5 linked regions of the Oryctolagus cuniculus genome follow. The protein of the gene in region 1 interacts with the protein of each later gene in a pairwise test. Links are inferred from orthologs where the notes say so. Each region holds a gene or a part of one and is shown in the gene's direction. Other genes may lie near its edges.

The links.
Region 2: the proteins of BAG3 (region 1) and ARRDC3 interact in binary tests that used the Homo sapiens proteins (3 or more experiments, as listed by UniProt). The two-hybrid records come from large-scale screens. The link is inferred for Oryctolagus cuniculus from reciprocal best matches to the Homo sapiens genes BAG3 and ARRDC3.
Region 3: the proteins of BAG3 (region 1) and LITAF interact in binary tests that used the Homo sapiens proteins (3 or more experiments, as listed by UniProt). The two-hybrid records come from large-scale screens. The link is inferred for Oryctolagus cuniculus from reciprocal best matches to the Homo sapiens genes BAG3 and LITAF.
Region 4: the proteins of BAG3 (region 1) and ENTREP1 interact in a two-hybrid assay, tested with the Homo sapiens proteins (2 studies listed by BioGRID and IntAct). The link is inferred for Oryctolagus cuniculus from reciprocal best matches to the Homo sapiens genes BAG3 and ENTREP1.
Region 5: the proteins of BAG3 (region 1) and SF3B4 interact in binary tests that used the Homo sapiens proteins (3 or more experiments, as listed by UniProt). The two-hybrid records come from large-scale screens. The link is inferred for Oryctolagus cuniculus from reciprocal best matches to the Homo sapiens genes BAG3 and SF3B4.

What each region holds. Positions count from the first base shown.
Region 1 is NC_091446.1:11,052,119-11,055,632, reverse strand, and holds part of BAG3 (BAG family molecular chaperone regulator 3), read left to right. Parts: intron 1-2,686; coding exon 2,687-3,016; intron 3,017-3,514. UniProt on the Homo sapiens protein: Co-chaperone and adapter protein that connects different classes of molecular chaperones including heat shock proteins 70 (HSP70s), e.g. HSPA1A/HSP70 or HSPA8/HSC70, and small heat shock proteins (sHSPs), e.g. HSPB8.
Region 2 is NC_091445.1:14,128,079-14,132,116, reverse strand, and holds the start of ARRDC3 (arrestin domain-containing protein 3), read left to right. Parts: upstream 1-1,230; 5' UTR 1,231-1,557; coding exon 1,558-1,837; intron 1,838-3,649; exon of another isoform or gene 3,650-3,730; coding exon of another isoform or gene 3,731-3,818; intron 3,819-4,038. UniProt on the Homo sapiens protein: Adapter protein that plays a role in regulating cell-surface expression of adrenergic receptors and probably also other G protein-coupled receptors.
Region 3 is NC_091450.1:25,061,928-25,066,153, forward strand, and holds the start of LITAF (lipopolysaccharide-induced tumor necrosis factor-alpha factor), read left to right. Parts: upstream 1-1,421; 5' UTR 1,422-1,574; intron 1,575-2,404; 5' UTR 2,405-2,554; intron 2,555-4,226.
Region 4 is NC_091432.1:161,052,853-161,056,366, reverse strand, and holds part of ENTREP1 (endosomal transmembrane epsin interactor 1), read left to right. Parts: coding exon 1-35; intron 36-133; coding exon 134-267; intron 268-3,514. UniProt on the Homo sapiens protein: Functions as an activator of the E3 ubiquitin protein ligase ITCH in the ubiquitination of the CXCL12-activated CXCR4 receptor. Thereby, triggers CXCR4 endocytosis and desensitization, negatively regulating the CXCL12/CXCR4 signaling pathway.
Region 5 is NC_091438.1:48,030,207-48,033,091, forward strand, and holds the end of SF3B4 (splicing factor 3B subunit 4), read left to right. Parts: intron 1-1,629; coding exon 1,630-1,803; intron 1,804-1,991; coding exon 1,992-2,179; 3' UTR 2,180-2,371; downstream 2,372-2,885. UniProt on the Homo sapiens protein: Component of the 17S U2 SnRNP complex of the spliceosome, a large ribonucleoprotein complex that removes introns from transcribed pre-mRNAs.

The sequences.
Region 1 (3,514 bases):
TTCCATTGGTTCACTCCCCAAATTACCGCAACGGCCAGAGTTGAGCTGATCCAAAGCCAGGAGCCAGGAGCTTCTTCCTGGTCTCCCACGTGGGTGCAGAGGCCCAAGAACTTGGGCCATCTTCTGCTGCTTTCCCAGGCCACAGCAGAGAGCTGGATTGGAAGAGGAGCAGCCAGGACTCACACTGGCTCCCATATGGGATGTCGGGACTGCAGGCTGGGGCTTTAACCACTGTCTGGCCCCTCTCTTGTCTCTTAAAGTTGAGGTACAGAATATGGTCAGTAAGATACAGATAAGGCCAGCTTCCTGGACACAGGGGCTTTCTCCAGGTAGAGCCGAGAGCTCAGCCAGGCCTAGCTAAGGATTCTAGGGGGTGGCAGTGTCGGGACTACAGAGAAGGTATTATTGGACAGGTTTTCACAGGAGCACACCCATTTCCTGCCCCCAGAAGACAGAACCTCAGAAGGTTCTTTCAGACCCCTGTCTGGCCATGTCCTCTCCTCTGGGGTGACCACCATTTGACTTGTGTCACTGTTGATTGTCCTTCACCTTGGTTCCGCTGCCGTGCCCCCGTCCCCCTGCCCCCCCCCCCAGTCTGACAGGCACTGTCTTGTGCCTATGTAGGGGGAGCTCCTGTTTGTCGCAGGCCCCTGCGTCCCTTCTCATGGGTCTTACAAAACCTCACTGCAGCTCTGCAGGCTCAGTGTTGCTGGCTCCCATCCAGGCTGGTTCCACCCTTGAAAGCCCCATCTCCCCCGTACCTCAGGCCTCTTTATATTTGCCCCAGGCACCCTTAACCCATCTTCTAAGCTCCTTGTTGCAAGAGAGGGTGCCTTGCTGGTTTGGTGAGCCCGAGAGACCCACCAGCACGTGGTGAAGGCGTCCTGACTGCTGGGCTCTGGAGTGTGCAGTGTCTGGGGAGAAGCAGTGAGCCTGCAGGCAGCCCGCAGAGATGACATCGCACGGCCGTGCAGGCCGAGATTGCAGCTGGAAGGAAGTGGGGGTGGGCTGGGGGTGGACGGCACTCCGGGAGGGCGTGTTGTGGCTCTCGGCGGAGCAGCCGAAGCTTTCTCAGCACCTCCAGCCTGCTGCCTTTTACTGCCTGTCCCACGGCAGGAACTGGGTTCCGAATCTGACGTCCAGACCCACTGCCTGCTCTTGGGTGACCTGAGAGTTAAGCAGGCTAAAATAATGCTGCCGCCCTGAGCACGTGGCTATTCTAATCTGAGACTGCCTGCCTGCCTGTGTCCCCAAGGACAGGGCGACACCCTTGCCTTTTCTGTGTGCTGGACGCCCGCCCTAGGCAGGGTCTCAGCGGGATTGCAGTTAGTGTTGTCTGCACTCAGAATGCAGAGCAGCCCTTGTTGTCTGTCTCGCTTTTGGTGGATTTTGCGCCAGTGGGACTTGTACTGTGCAAGCTTAGATTCCCCACGTGTGCTTGCCATTCAGCAAGACTCCTCCTACAGGAAGGGCTCAGGGGTCTGTGCACTGGGATGTGTACGGATGACACAGATCAGTGCCCTTCCCCCACCCCGTGAAAGGAGCCCTAGTCCAAGGGGTCAGGGCTTCATTGCACAGCCTCTGTGTGCTGAGAGATGGCAGTGCCCAGTGACCCACCGGCCTTGTCTGAAATAAGATCTTTCCCTGCGGAGCATCTGGAACGCGGCCTTCTCAAGGGTCCCAAAATAGCCAGGCCACTGAAGGGAGACTGCGAGAGAGGACGGAAGAGGGGGTCCCCAGCCGCCGCTCGCAAGAGTGGGCCCTGTAATGCTAGAGGAGACTGACTCGGGGGCCTGGGCTGAGGTCCACAAGGAAGCCTGCAACGGGCAGGGGCGGGGCAGAGAGACCGATGTGGGCAAGGGGGGCTTTACAGCCGCGGAGCAGGGTGTGGCCCTGGACAGAAAGTGACTAAGGGGAAGTCAGGGTCAGAGAGATTCTGGCCAAACCTACCTAACAGGATTCTTGCTGCAGCCGGGCCTGTGGCGTGAGCAGACCCTGGAGGCTGAGGAAGTGGATCAGATATCCAGGGTGGGGCACTCTGGCTAAACCAACTGAGCAGGGTTCTTCTGCTAAAACTGGATCTTACAGGGGAATGCGCTGATGGGCCTAGGAGAAGAAGGTTCTGAAATCTGAAATAAAGTTTGAGCAAAGAATCCTTGTGGAAGCCGAGCTCAGGGAATCCCCAGATGCTTCCCCTCCCGGCTGGCCCTGCCTTTCTGGTTGTTCCTGACCATATCGCTGCAGGGGCAGCGCCTGTGCCACCCCACTTCTCTGCAAAGACTTCCCAACTGTGTTCTGTGTTTGTGTTTGGACTGGAAATCTAGGAGGTGATCTTTTATTAATTTTTTTTTGCTATACATTGGTGGTGGTTGCAGCTGGACCCTGCTTCCAAGGGCCCACCTTCTGGTCTGGATCTCTGAAGATCTGGGGACAGTCGGCTGCTCTCATTCACTGCTGTCAGTTTGGGAATTGGGAACTCGCTGTGCTCCACAGCTACCCTGGCTCACCTCTCTCCTGATGCCCCCAGACAGCAGTAGAGCTGGTGGCAGAGGCAGGGGGCTGGGCGCGTCCCAGCTGACACTCTGGGGTGCAGAGCACTCTGGGAGATCACGCTCTCGATGCCACAGTTGCCTTCTCGCAGCGTTTTCTTACCAGTTTCTAACCCATCTGTGTTTCTTCCCTTTAGGAGACTCCATCCTCAGCCAATGGGCCCTCGCGGGAGGGTGCCAGGCTGCTGCCCGCTAGGGAGGGCCACCCTGTGTACCCCCAGCTCCGACCAGGCTACATTCCCATCCCCGTCCTCCACGAAGGCGCTGAGAACCGGCAGCCGCACACTTTCCACGTCTATTCCCAGCCTGGGGCACAGCGATTCCGAACCGAGGCAGCCGCCGCTGCGCCGCAGAGGTCCCAGTCACCTCTGCGGGCTGTGCCGGATGCCACGCAGCCAGAGAAACAACAGTGTGCACAGGCGGTGGCAGCTGCGGCAGCCCAGCCCCCAGTCTCCCATGGACCTGAGGTAAGAGAGGCCTGGCCCTAGGCCAGGCGCCTGTTAATGAGCAGGGCATCTATCTGGGCCTGGCTGGCGGCGGCGGAGGTCACCCAGCAAGGACAGGTTGTTGGCCGCACGTCAGCCCCAGCGTTGTGTGAACGTGCACGGAGCTGGAAGTTGCCGAGCTGGGACTGGACACTCGGGCTCTGGCTCCAAGCTGGGGCCCCCCTTTCACACAGGGCTTTCTAGTTCCAAAGCACAGAGAGGTGCTTGTCCATGGTGCTTGGTGCTCAGGAGTGGATCCTAAGCCCTCGGAGCTGTGCTGTTAGGAAACCGAGACCACATCCCAGCCCTCCCGGCTTCGCACTGGCTGAAACAGGAAATCCAGAACAAGGAGTCAGGGACGCGTCGATAGCAGATTGGGTTTCGCTCCTGAAGCCAAATACTTCAGGGCATGTTGATGGATTGAGGGCATTAATAGCTCAAACCTGGCTTCCTCTGTCTCAGCTGAAACCCGCGGCCCAG
Region 2 (4,038 bases), on another chromosome or scaffold:
CCCGGGCTCCATCTACCCAAACATACTACGCAGAAGAATCTAAAACGTATGGACACAGCCGTAGCCAAAAACCTTCCCAAGAATTCCTGGTTACGTATATGTGGCTTCAGATTCCCATCTTTTTCTGTCTTTCTATAGCTCTCCTGACAGCAGCTCTGCGGAGGCCAGTAATCTACACGAGTTTGTGCTGTTACACTCTGCATCCCAGTGGGGCGTGACGCAGGCTCTGCTATTTCTTACCGAAACACTCACAATCAAAAAAGACAAATGTACCTATTAGGATGCACGGGAATGACTAGGCTGAACAGTCCAGCGGACAACCGCGGCTCCGCAGAATCCGCATCCTCACTGATGCTAAGAATTATGCTTTCCACACGCTGCATCTCGCTCCTTCAAACCATCGCTCGCGCTCCAGCAACTCCCCACCAAGGCTGTGCGCCGAGCCGCCACCGTGCCACCTGCCTTCTGCAAGGTGGCACTGTGGACGCGAGGGCTGCAGCCGCGCACCCTGCACCCTGACTCCGGCCACGGCTGGCGTCCCTAACAAGGACCTCGGCTTCCTCGGGGGAAGCGGGCCGCCTGCCCCCAACGTCGCCAGCGACTCGCTCGGGGTAGCCGGAGCCGGCACAGCCCCCCGAGGGGACGGGACCTACGCCTCTTCCTCGCTGCCTTAGGGCGTCCGCTCCGCAGGCCCCCTTTTGGCCTCCAGGGAGCTCACTTCCACCCCGTCTACAGCCATCTACGGACGCGCATAAAATCCACGCCGAGACTGCTCTCGTCTGTGACCACGATTCCTGGCCCGGTTTTCAGGACTTTTTTTTTTTTTCCTCCCGAAAGTCGTTAGCTCAGGCTCAGCCACCCAGCCGCTGGCCCGACCGGTTTCTCCCCCTTCCTCCTCCTCCCAGGCAGGCGGCGGGCGAATCCGCGCAGCGCCGCTAACGCGTGCGCCGGCCCGGCCGCCCCTCCACGCGGCCCGCGGTCCCTCAGCGCCCCGCCGGCGGTCGCTCTGTCAGAGGCCGCCCGGCCAGCGGCTCCGGGGAGCACGCCGGGGCTTTCCGGCAGCCCGCCCGCCAATGGGAGCCCACAATGCAGCGAAGTCCGGCCGGGCCTCCCGGCAGCGCCCGTGCCGGCTTCCCCGGCTCCACGCCTACTGTACCCGCGCGCGTGCCCGGCGAGGGCGCGAGCGCGGCGCGGCGCGGCGCGGCGGGGGCGCGCGCCCGGGGGGCCGGCGGCCGCGGCGGCGTGCGCGTGCGCACTGGGGTTGTTTTTCACAAAGCTGCTCTTAAAGTGAGCTGGCAGGCTCCGGCCGCCCGTCTTTGTAAGGAGACCACTGAGACGGGCGGGCGCGCGGAGCCGCCGCCGCAGCCTCTCTGCTGCCCTGACTTTTAAGAGCTCTCAATGAACTGTCTGTAAGGAGCTACTGATCCTGCCTGCAAGGGTTTGCATTTTTGCACGGCAGAAGCATCGATCAGTGTTGAGTGAAGATCCCATTTTATATGCGATCTTGACTTTTTTGGGGGTCTTACATTATATTTTTTATAGATTTTTGTTATCAACATGGTGCTGGGGAAGGTGAAGAATTTGACAATAAGCTTCGACTGTCTGAATGACAGCAATGTCCCCGTGTATTCCAGCGGGGATACTGTCTCAGGAAGGGTGAATTTAGAAGTTACTGGGGAAATCAGAGTAAAATCGCTTAAAATTCATGCAAGAGGACATGCGAAAGTACGCTGGACGGAGTCTAGAAACGCCGGCTCCAATACTGCCTACACGCAGAACTACACCGAAGAAGTAGAATACTTCAACCATAAAGACATCTTAATTGGGCACGAAAGAGGTAAGTTTTCCTACCATTCGGCAGTCTGCAGGCTGGCTTTCTCGGGTGGACGTGGTTCTCGCAGCGTAGCTCGGCCGTTTGCTGGAGGCTAGCAAAGTTGCGAGGTTTGGGTTCTCCTTGACGGGAGGCTGTAATGCGTGCCGGCATCTGCAAAGCGACTGCAAACTGCACCTCGTCTCCACCACCCCTGGACCCGGCTCGGGCTGTGCCATACGCACTTGCGGTCCATTTGCACCTCACTCGGAAATTCTGCTTGCCTCCGAGTCCATGATTTTACTGCTACGTTTTCAAATGAATTGATGAAAGCTGCGGTCCGGCATCAGATTTTTAAAATTTTTTCCTTTTTCTTTGCAACCTTAGCTCAAAACCTGAGCTTGAAGGAAGGAATGAAATAACATTTTAGGAGGGTTAGTAGATGTGTTTCCTTTTAATATTAACGTGCAAAGGACTTTATAAGGAATTGATCATTGTTCTTTGAGAGAGGGTTTCCCTGGCTTATTTTGACATATGGTATTACCAACACCCCACGTGTTTTTTTTTTTTTTTAACCTCTTCTTTCCAATGCTTTGGGAATTTTGCATCAAGCATTCCTTATTTTAAAAGACAGTATCTATCACCGTGGCCGGTGTTCAGTCAGGTTCAGAAGCCATTCAGGGCCAGCAGTTTCTTCTCCAAGCATCATGTCTAACTTTGGAACGTGCATTCAATGAAACCCTGCCAGTCCAATGGAATTGAAAAGTAGACCGCACACTGGACTTGATTTTTGGTTAGAAGGGGGAGATGGAGGGTTGTCAAAGGGAGAGGGGGTCCTGAGATTTCCCCTCTATTGTTTAGATGGCTACATTGTGGAAATATAGGAGACTCTAAGCTTGTTTTTCTAAGTTTCCACCCTTTGTTAGAAGCGGTTCAATCCTGTTTCGGACCAGTTCTGGGGGGTGGTGAGGAGGGGCGCTTGTGCAGCTCTCAGCAGATTGGTTACACGCGTCAGGTGGTGGCGATGACTTAATTCTAGCCCAAGAAGAATATAATGTTAAAACTGGTTATGTAATTTTGTGCTTCTCCTTTTTAATGCAGTATTTAGTGCAAATGCTGACTTTTTCAGAAAGAGGCTCGCTTTTATCTGCGTTTTTATATTCAAGATATACATCCCAGGGAAATGCTAATTGAATTAAGGGAAGGGAGAAATAAAGGAAGCGTTGAGTTACAGCATTATTGCATTTTTTTTTTAAATGCTCAGGTGAAATCAGTTCTTCGGCAGGGTTTCCACAGTTCACCTAGGTGGTTTTGCATCTTGAAGTAATTTCTAGTTCATCTTCCCAAGCGTTAACTCTGATAGGAAATGCAAAGCGCCTGATGACAGTTCTGCTGTGTGCTGCAAAGCGCACACGCGAGTTTGATTTCGAGCCTTTTATAAAATGAGAAGAAACAAAAGGTTTTTCTCTCAAGAGTTGAGCCTTGCAGTGAAGGGAAAGTAGAACAATGCGTTGGGGCGGAAAGCAAGGTCGTTAGCTGCACCTCGACTTCGTGGTGAGGAAAACCGAACGCCCCGCACCCAGCCGGGCGCCCCCCGAAGCCGGCCACGCGTGGACGAGCTTCTGCCTGGAGTAGTTTCAATGACTTTAGCTGAGAGCTCTCACACGAGCCTGGCAGCGGAGGCCCCGCCCCGGGCGGCCGGCGAGGGGCGGGGCCAGGTTTGTTAGCCTGTTGCTAAGGCGATGCCGGGCGCTGATTGGATTGGGCCGGCGCGGGTGGGGAGAGTGGGCTCCGGCCGGCTGGGGCGCGGCTTGGAACCGGCGTGCGCCGGTAAAGGTCCCTCCCGAGCGGCCGCCCCCGCCCGCGCTCGCGCGAGTGCGTTCCCGGGCTTCCGTGGGCTCCCGGGGCCCGCGTCGCGGCATGCCCTGCTGCTGTCCCTCTCTCCGGCCTGTTGGGGCCACGAGGGGGACGCCTCGTACGGGGCGCCAGCCGCTGCCGGCTTTCACAGGTGCAGAGTCGCCCTGGGCGCAACTTTTGGCCAGAGACCCTCGTAGAGGGGGCTGGCGTGAGGAGAGCGAGCGGGACCCCCGAGGTCGCGGGCGACGTGTCGGAGTGGCTCCCTTTCCTCTCGGCTGCCACAGACATGTGCCGACTGTCCAGTCAGCAGTCTGGCTACCTTGACGTGACCTGAGGGGGAGTCTGGCACTGGCTGGCCAGGGCAAAGAAAA
Region 3 (4,226 bases), on another chromosome or scaffold:
CTGAACAACTCTGGGAATAACAGGGGAAGCTGGAGAAAAGTTGGCGCAGTCGCCGTGTGCCAGCACTAATGCCTTGGGCAGATGTCTCCTTCCCACGTCCAAACCACCCCGCGGGTGGCAGACGGAGGCGCTAAGGCTCAGAGAAGTCAAGTCAGCTACCCAAGGTCACACAGCTCAAAAGTAGGTGCGCACAGACCCAATCACCCAGGTGGCCTGCAGCCGGAACTCCAGCTCCCAATCGTGACCCTAAACTGTCACAGTCTTCACCCACCCACCCCCAGCTCCTCTCCCCGGTGCCCGAGGGGCCTGGGACCAGCTGACCCCAGGGCGGTCGCCCTCGGGACTCAGGATGACAAGCACCCATACGCCAGCGAGCGCGGGCGGCGAGCAGGCTGGGTGCCAGGCGCTCCACGCACCCTCTCATTAACCCTGGCGGGGCCGCCGGCGTCCCCGCGCCGCACGGAGCAGCAAGCCCGGTGCCAGGGACGCAGGGGCTCGGCCGGGGGGGGCGACAGCTGGGGAGGGGGCGACAGCTGGAGGCGGCTGGAGCCGGCCCGCCTTGGGGCGGGGGTCGGCGGCCACGAGACCCAGTCCTGCCCACGCCACGCCGTCACCGCCGACGGAGCCGCGCCCGCCTCAGTTTCCCCACCCGCGCGCCAGGCGCCGGACGTCGCCCGGACCCCTGACTCCCGCCTGATTCCGTCGCCGCAATCCGCCTGACCGCGCTGGGGGCTGCCAGGACCCAAGCCTTGGAAGCAATTTTGAAAATCCTCGAAGTGTCCCAGGGAGCCCCGGAGGCCGGCCCGGGCCTGGGCGGGGGGCGTGCACAGGGGGCTGGAGCACCGCTCCCCGCGAGGCGGCCTCCGCCCCCCGCCGCCTCCTTTGTCCCGACCTCTCCGCAGCGCAGCGGACAAAGAGCCCCCGCCGCGGGCGCGGCCCCCGGAACAGACAGACCCTCCCTCCCGCCAGCCGCGCCCCGGCCCGGGCCGCCCCTCCCTCGCCGCGAAGACCACCTCCCACCCAGGCCCGGGGCACCGCCGCCCCGCGCGCCCGCGCGCGCGCCCCCACCCCGTCCGGGGCCGCCCCTTCCCCTCCCTCAAGCCCCCGCCTGGCGCACCGCCCAGCCCGCCCGGCCCCGCTCACCATGGCGCAGCCCGCAGCCCCGGCCCGGTCGCCCCGCAGCAGCCCCGCGGGCCCGGCTCCGCCCGCCAGCCCGCCAGCCCGGTCCGGCCGCCGCGCACCGTCGGGACGCAGGAACCCCGCTCTGCGGCGGGCGGGGCGCCTCAGGCTCCGCCCCGGACGGGGGCGGGGACCTCCGGCGTGGCCAATAGGCGCCTGCGCTGGGACGGCGGGGCGGGCCGGGCCGGGGCGGAGTCACGTGCGCTCGGGGCCGGGGCCGGGGCGGCCGGCGTGGGCGGGGGCTCCGCGCAGCTGGCGGGACGGCGGGCGGGGCGGGGGGCGCTGGTGGGTTGGGGCCGCGCCGTCAGCGCCGTGCCTCCGCCAGCCTCACCCCAGCCCCACGGGCTGTCCTCTTCCCGCGCGCTTACCGACGGGGAAACTGAGGCGCCCGGCAGGTAAGAGCTTGGGACTGGAGCCAGCTGGTCGTTTACTCATTCGTAAGGTTTATCGAACCTCGGCCACATGCCTGCTGCCCCGGAGGCCTCAGCGCAGCGGGAGCCAGAGAGTTCCACCCCCTTGACAGTGTGTCATCCTGCTTATTTTGACCGTAATAGCAGGCGCCCTGCCCACCAGATGCCCAGCCCTGTCCTACCAGTGAGTACGCTTAGCTCAAGACAGACCCCCACGGAGCTAGCCCACCTTACCGCTGCGAGGTGCGGAGGGATCCCAGGGTTTGGTTCCAGGCCTGCGCCCCCGGCTGGGAGAGGCCCCAGTTAGTGTGGGCATAGCAGCTGGTCGCTGCAAGTGGGCGCTCGCCGTGGCCAGTGAGGCCCGTTCGAGGGGTGGGTGCTGCAAGGCCGGTGAGCCCAGAGGGGCTGGTGGACCTGGGGCTCCTGGGAGCTGGACGGCTTGTCCGCCGGTAGCTTCTTTGCCTGTCTCTGGCAGAAGCTTGCAGGCCAGGGCGTCGGGCATCCCTGGCTCCCTCCTGCACGGCCTGGGCTCTCCTCCCGCGCCGTCAGAGCACCAGGCTGTTCCTGCCCCAGTGCCTTTGCCATGCCACTTGCTCCTGCCCGTGCCACTTCTCCACTTCATTGATCTCAGCTTGAATGGCCCTTCCTTGGCAGGGGCTTTCCTAACCCCCCCCCCCCGCCCCACCTCCCCATCTCTCCTGCCCCTTGTGAAATTAAACATTTGGGGGGCAGAGCAAGGGAGGGCCTTGGGAGTTGGGGGTGGTGATGAGCTTTTCCCTGGGTTGGGTCTGCTCCATTCTCTGTCTTTTCTGCAGAGGAGCGCCAGGCACACAGGCTGGCTGCCCTGTGCTCTGGCTGTCCGTCACACCTGGGAGTCCAGAGTGGCAGGAAACAGGTTCTTCCCACAAAGCCAGTTCCAGCGGCCTTTGCGGTCCCAGCCTCCAGCCAGCAGAGCATCATTAGTGGTAAGAGCTGGGCAGGGCAGGCTTGGAACCCCAGAGCCAGAGCTGGCGTCGCGATGCCAGGCAGGCAGGGACACTTGGGGGAACAGATTCTCGGGGGAAAGTGGTAATGGAAGTTGGCAGACTGCCAGGGTTCGAGTCCAGCCGTTTATGCTGTGTGGCTTTGGAAAAGCAGCCTGACCTCTCTGTGCTGTTTTCTCTGGTGTGAGCACATCGAGTGCTTGGCACAGAGGACGGCCTCCTGGCCACTCGCTGGTGCCGTCAGTGCTAGGGTTGAACGGGTTGGGCCGTGAACTTGAACTTCCCCGGCACGTTGCTGCACCCCCAGAGCCTTGGGTGCCTCGTCTTCAGGGTGGGTCTCATGAAACCCACCTCGGGGGTGGGCTGAGGATGGGGGACCTGCAGCAGCCCTCTGAGCCCCTCTTGTCTAGAATGTTCCAGTAATGCTAAGTTACTGTGAATTGTACCGGTGGCATTTGCTGGGAACTGGACAGACATTTCACACCCATTCTACGGAAGAGGAGCCGAGGCACCCCAGGGTGCGTGTGCACCCGGGGAGGGTGCCGTAGAGCAGACCCTGGCTGTGGTCTGCAGGTCTCACGAGCACCCCAGGCGGGGCCAGGGCGGGGCAGTGTTCCCCACACTTAACACAGCGAGGGCCCGAGTCGTTTGCTGAAGGCCACAGAACAGCAGTGCCCAGCCCGGGGTTGGAGCCCCTCCAGTGTCCTGCCTGCCCCGGCCCCGGCCCCGCTGTCATCCCTGGCTGGGAGGAGGCAGGAAGTGTAAGTCCCTTCCCCCAGAGCAGTTTCCTCCCGGTGCCTCCGGGTGACATCTGGCCCAGGGTCCCCAGGGTCCTCCCTGTGGGCCGGGCTGCAGGTTCCCAGCTGCTCATTAGCCAAGACGATAATTAAGGGCGGGGGATGAGCTCACCCCTGCTCCCTCGGGCCTGCCGGGGCCCAGTCGGCCCTGCCCTGTGCCAGCCTGGCCCTGTGCCCACTCCCCCCCCTCCCAGTGCTGGAGGGGCTTGTGGGGGGAGGGGGGTGAAGCAGACGCAGGCAGCCTTAGGGGAGCCCCCTGCAGCCCAGCCACAGCCCCCAGGCATCTGCTCCAGGGATTTCCAGGCCTAAAAGCAAAAGGAACCCTGGGGCCAGAGAGGAACCCCCTGAAGGGCGAGGAGCACGCGCTGAGCAGGGGCCGGTGGGAGGCCCCGCCCTGCTCTTTCCAGGGGGTAGCCCCTCCCACCTCGCTCCCAGCTAACGTGGCTGTCACGGCTCCCCAGGCTGGCTCAGCCCTCCTGGCTCCAGGACTGCGCTGTGGAGCCAGAGTGTCCCGGCGTTGTATTTGGCGCGCTTGTGCGTCGGTTTTCTCCTGTTCATGGCAAGTGTTGCCTTTTTTTTTTTTTTTAAAGATTTATTTATTTATTTGAAAGAGTTACAGAGAGAGAGAGAGAGGTCTTCCATCCACTGGTTCACTCCCCAAATGGCCGCAACAGCCGGAGCTGCACCGATCCAAAGCCAGGAGCCAGGAGTTTCTTCCGGGTCTCCCACGCAGGTGCAGGGACCCAAGGCCTTGGGCCATCTTCCACTGCTTTCTCAGGCCACAGCAGAGAGCCGGATGGGAAGTGGAGCAGCAGGGACTCAAACCGGCGCCCATATAGGATGCCGGCATTTCAGGC
Region 4 (3,514 bases), on another chromosome or scaffold:
ACCTCCAGATCTTCGCCACCCGGAGATCCTGCATCGTGAGTCCCCGCGGGGGGTCTGAGGTGGGCCCCTGGGTGGCGCCCAGTGCTCTTCTGGGCGGTGAGCGCTGGGGACTAACCGGGTGCTTTGTGATCAGGATGAAGCCCAGATTTCCGCAGAGGAGCTGGAAGAACACGGGCGGATCCCAGACCCCGACGACTTCGTGCCGCCGGTGCCTCCGCCGTCCTATTTTGCTACATTTTACTCGTGTACTCCTCGGCTGAGCCGCAGGTATCCACCGACCCTCCCCCAGTGCCCCTGGGGGTGCTCTCCAAGCCCAAGCCCTGAGCGTTCCGGGACATCTGCAATGGAGGGGGTGGTTTTCCAGGGTTTGCTGCCCTCTTTGCCTCATTCTCTCTTTTGTCTGATAAAGCAGATGAATCCAAGAGAAGTCAAACCTTGACCTAAAGATAGGCTTTTCCACTTTCAGTTAGCTACTTAGGGAAAAGCGACACCCGGGGAGATAAGGGCTGTAATTTGACATGATTGAGAGTCGCTGTTGCCCTGGAAACGCTCCCCATCAGGCCAAATCGATGTTTCATTATAACACTGTCGGCAGCTCTGAGCAGTCCTGACATTCTTCCCAGCCATTAAGAAATGATTAATTATTCATTCCATCTTCCTCGGTGAGGAAAAATAGGCACCGTGCTTATTTTCTTTTTCAAATTCTAGCTCAGCATTGGTTTCTTACATCTGAGGAAGTAGTATTTGTAGAATGAACTATCACAGGAGTTCATCTGGTCGTTGGTGACATCTGGAATCAAAGCTCTCTAAAGTGTGACTTCATTTATTCATGCAACAGACATCATCACTCCTCTGCTGCTTCCTGCTGGCTGTGCTGGGTCATTGAAATTCAAAGTTAGACCTGCTTCCTCCCCTCCGAAGAGGAAGCACACCGGCTTGATCCGGGAAGGATCAGGGAAGCGCTCAAAAGAGGGATTCTGGGTGCAGAGAGGAGGTCTCCCTAAACTGAACTAGTGAGGTGTGTCAGTCAGTCAGGGATGACTTCCTGTAAGAAGTGACAATAAGCTGAGTGTCAAGGGTGAGCAGTCTTATATTTGAGCTTCCAAAAGAAAATCTCTGAGTTCCACAGAGAGACTAGCATCTTTTACTGAGAGGGCCAGAGATGTCTGTTTTTTTGTCCCTGTTTGGTGCCAGTTGAGGGCTTTGGGGAGCAGTTTTCCTGAGTTTGGGGCAGGTGTGTGTGACTTGGAGATGGAACTCACCCAGATGCCATTAGCATTCCTTCCACCTGTCTCTCGAGTCAACAGGAGCCCCCCCACCCCGTTCCCCCTGCTGCATCCCCTCCCTGCCCTCCAGCCCAGGCAGGAGCCCGAGGATGCTCAGCTGACTCAGCTGGGGGGACAGATGGCACAGGGCAGGCCCATGGGACAGCTCAGCCTCTCTGTCGTGCAGGGAGGGACCTCCTGGAATCCCAGAGCTTCTGGGGCCAGGAGGGCTCCCTGGTGTTTCAGGAAACCAGCCAAGGGTTAGGGAGGCCAAGGAGACTTCAAGGAGACCTGCCTCTCCTCTCTGCACCTTGTGCGGCCTGCAGAGGGTGTCCCAGACTGGCCGGTAGGTTGTTGTTGGGGAGAGAAACACCCTCTTCACACTGAACTCCTTGGCTCGCTGAGGCTGTGGCTGGGCATCTGGTTGACCTCAGAGGAGGCCCAGATTCCGTTTCCTGCTGCCGCAGAAAGGGAAAGTGACTCATGTGGGTTTCGGAGCGCAGCCCATCGCGCACACTCCCTGACCTTGCTTTCTCCTCTCTTTCTGTTCTCTTCGCTGCTCCACCGGAATCCTGCTCTTTCCGTGGCTCGCTCCACTCTCAGAGGACCTGGGTGCCTCCTGGGGTTCGTCCCGGTGAGCCCTGGGACAGCCCCTGGGCGACAGCAGACAAACCTTTTCTACCTAGATCTCTCCAGAAGGCAGGCAAGGGGCGGGGGTGCCCGCAAAACGCCCCTGTGCCGGGTCTGTGGCGCCAGCCTGGAGCCCCAGGAGCGAGCACCCCATAGTGTTAGGGTGCAGCCCACCTTCCTTCTTCAGAGAGCTACGCTTACTCACTTTGGATGCATAGTCCATTAAGATGTTTCTAGATTGGACCGCCTTGGCCAGCCTCACGACAAGTTGACCTTACAGCCACTGGCCGTGAACACCAGTTGGTGGGTGGCTAGGCGAACGTCTTCCTACTGCTTTCACCCATAGTTGCCATTGAGTTTTCATAGGCAGAGGCTCTGCATTTCCTGTGAGCTACCCTGACCTCCCAGAAGAGGTTTATTTATTGAACTTCTATAAATACAGCCGCTCCTAGCATGGGTATCTCCTTGAGGAAGGGCTTCTCAAGTTACTGTCAGAAACAGAAGTCTGATTGCAGCAGAGGCTTCTCTCCTTTGTAAGCCCAGGACGGGGCGGCCCTCACCCCCTCCACTACTCCAGGGTGGCCCCGGGTCTAAGAAATTGGCCCGTGCCAGGAATCCAAAAGGCAGCAACTGTGTCTCCGTGTGCCTCCGGCCCGGGTACAGCAGAGAAGCCAGCAAAACCAGCAAAGGCTTCCTGGAGACTTGGTTGAGAGAGCCTAGGCTCTGGGGTCTCCTTGGGCAGGTTTCTTACCATTTCTGTGCCTGTCTCCCCATTCACCTGGTTGTGACATGACTGCTGGGAACATTGTTACAAGATAATGGACATACAGAACCTTTTACTGATAAAAGCTTAGACCATTGTCTTAGTCCATTTGTCCTGCTGTAGCAGGGTGCCACAGCTTGGGTAATTTACCAAGAACAGAAACTTATTCATCCCAGTTCTGGAGACTGAGAAGTTCAAGGTCAAGTTCAAGGTCAAGGTGCCAATATTGGGTTTTCCAAGGCGGTGGTGCCTGATGGCTGAGTCCCCCAGAGGGAAGGAGCGTTGTGTGCTCCTGCGGCCGGAGATCAAAGGAGAACCTGCTCCCTGGAGCCCTGTTCACATGGCCTTAACCCATTCGTCAGGGCAGAGCCACGTGACCTAAACTCCTGCTGAAAACTCTACCTCCCGACGTAGTTGCATGGGGATTAGGTTTCCTACACGTGAGTCAGGGGGACACATTCAGATCCTTGCAACCATGCTCCCCCATCACTGGTTCACGATTCCACATGCTCTTGGTGTGCCTACTTCTCTCAGGAATATTTGCCCTTATCTTACCAGGCAGCAGAATTTTAAAGACTTCATTACTATAAAAAAAAAAAATCTGAGCAACTGTCCCAGATGGAACAGGGCTCAACTGCAGCCACCATGGCCCATTGTCTTTTTTTTTTTTTTAATTTGACAGGTAGAGTTATAGACAGTGAGAGAGAGAGACAGAGAGAAAGGTCTTCCTTCTGTTGGTTCACCCCCCAGATGGCCACTATGGCCGGAGCTACGCCGATCCGAGGCCAGGAGCCAGGTGCTTCCTCCTGGTCTCCCATGTGGGTGCAGGGCCCAAGCACTTGGGCCATCCTCCACT
Region 5 (2,885 bases), on another chromosome or scaffold:
GGCTCCTGGCTCCTGGCTTCGGATCGGCACAGCTCTGGCCATTGCAGCCTATTGAGGAGTGAACCATCAGATGGAAGACCTTTCTCTTTCTCTGCCTCTTTTCTCTCTGTGAATAAAAAGAAAAAAAAGAAAAAAAAAAACAAAAAAAACCTAGGGAGTCCAAATGGATTGTGCGCTCACCTTTGCCTCTCTACTGAGCCGCCCTCCTGGCCTGCCCAGGTGTAATTCTCTCTTTTCAACCTTGTAACCTCGCTCTCCCCCAGTTTCAGCGACTGGGCACTCTGTCTCTTCCGTTCAAAAAAAATTTCTTTATGTAATTATTTATTTGAAAGGCAGAGTTACAAAGAAGATGAGACAGAGAAAGAGAGCTTCCATCTACTAGTTCAAATGGCTGCAATGGCCAGGGCTGGATCAGGCCAAAACCAGGAGCCAGGAACTCCATTTGTGTCTCCCATGTGGGTGAGCAAGGACCCAAGTACTTGGACCATCGTCTGCAGCTTTCCCGGGCTCACTAGCAGGGATCTGAAGTGGAGCAGTCAGAACTTGAGCCTTTGCTCCATGTGGGATGCTGGAGTTACCAGCAGCTGCTTGACTTGCTGTGCCACAGTGCGGGGCCCTCCCCCTTCAAACCTATTCTATAAGTCTTCCGTATTTTTCAGGTGCATAATTCATGAGTCTAGGGCTGTGTTTGATTATTCCCTGTCACCTCACTTCCTGCTTTTAAATATTAATTTTATTTATTTGAAAGGCAGAACTACAGAGAAATCAATCTTCATCTGCTGGTTTACTCCCCAAATGGCTGCAACGTCCTGGGCTGTGCCAGGCCAAAGCCAGGAGCCAGAAGCTTCATCTGGGTCTCAAACTGGCGCCCATAAGGATGCCAGCATTGTAGACAGCACTTAACCTGCTGTGCCACAGCACTGCGCCCTCGCCTCACTTGTCATACGAACTCTTAGACTTGTGGTATCTGCCTCCCCTGCCAGTGCCCTAGTGCAAGCTCTTAGTCCCTTGTTATTTCACACTTAACTGTGCTGATCTCTTGCCACTTTGATTACAGTGTTGTCCTGAATCTATTTTCCCAGATGTTTTTCCGCCAGGTATTCAGATACCCTTTCTCAAAATTCTGTTGTGCCCTTCTACCTGCAGAGTAAAGCTTCCCCACACACTCAGTACCGTGGCTTTCAGGGCGTTTCCTGATCTGGTCCTGCCATCACCCCCATAGCCACTGCTCCAGATTATTGCTGAGTTACTGGTATTTGCCGAGACGAGACGTCTGTGCTCTTTGACACGCCTGTGATTCTCAAATGCTCACCTTTCTGCCTTGGACAGTTTGTTTCCATGTTCTCATCCTCCTGAAACATTCTGTCCTTTAGGTGGCTGTTGGGGCAGCCTGTCCTGTCAGTGGAGTAATCCCTCCAGTGGTTACACACTTGTGCATTACTATTCCAGTGCCTGGGTCATTGAGGAACCATGACGTGCGGTGGTTTGTCCTGTTGGGGTGGGAGCAGGGACAGGAGCACCTTGGATTTTCTAGCCCCTTCTCTTCCTGATGTCATTTTCTTTCTCATGTTGCTCTCTTCTCCATCTTTGTTCTCTTCCTGATTTTCCCCTTGTCTCTTATTTTCACAGGGATGTCTCAGATGCAGCTGGCCCACCATGGCCCTCATGGCTTAGGACACCCCCATGCTGGGCCCCCAGGCTCTGGGGGACAGCCACCACCACGCCCACCTCCTGGAATGCCTCATCCTGGACCTCCTCCAATGGGCATGCCCCCCAGAGGACCTCCGTTTGGATCTCCCATGGGTGAGTGGGCTGTAGCCTCCTCCTGTCTGCATATGTATCATTCTCACAGCTTTCTTTGTCAGCTTTCCCATGCCTGTTCTTTTCTTTCTCACGTTTCTTTAAGTCACTTTTTCCTCTTCCCACAGGTCTTCCAACATCAACTGTCTCCTGTAACTCACTGCTACTAATTTCTGTTTCCCTTTTTGCAGGTCACCCAGGCCCTATGCCTCCACATGGTATGCGAGGACCCCCTCCACTGATGCCGCCTCATGGGTACACTGGTCCTCCACGGCCCCCGCCCTATGGCTACCAGCGGGGCCCCCTTCCTCCACCCAGACCCACTCCCCGGCCTCCAGTTCCCCCTCGAGGCCCACTTCGGGGCCCTCTTCCTCAATAAACTCCAATTCTCCTTCCTATTATTTTCAGCTGAAGTTTTTTCGATTCCTTGGACCAATCAGAGTTGCTGTAGCTAGCTTCTCTGAGCTCTCCATTTTTAATGTAATTTTTCCCCACAAGATTTTTCCTTTTTTATGTTGGTCCTAAGTGTTTTGCAAATGCACATGGAAAATAAAACTGTACTTGTTTATTCTTTGTGGTGTTATCCTTGGCAAAGTAACTTTTCTCTTTTTCTCCAAGAAGTGTCGGGTCTTGTGAGAGAAATGGTAAGGATTCTGTGATGTGCCGTTGGAATAGCTGGTCTCTGAGGTGCCCTGGAGTGGCTATTTCCTTGCATAGAGCTTATCTCTAGTTTATCCCATGGGGTCCCAGTATCTCGAACATAAGAGTATTATAGTAAGATGAGAAAAGAAGTAAGATGCCTAGAGATAGGCTGGCATAAATAGCAAGTAGAATGCACAAAGCTGTTCATTGTAACTCTCTTTGTGGTAAGAGGAGATTGGTAACACCTCACATATCCATCTGGTTTGACAAATAACAACACTGCCTGGTGTTGGAGGCAGGCTGAGGTCGGAGCTGGTTCGGATCATAGCTTTTCAACTCCTCCACAGTGAGGTACAGAACCATTGGAAACATCGAGGTAAAGGAGGAGAGCACTTGGGGCTGCAGGTTCTTGGCTCGGAATTCCAGCTGCTCTAGCTTGACGT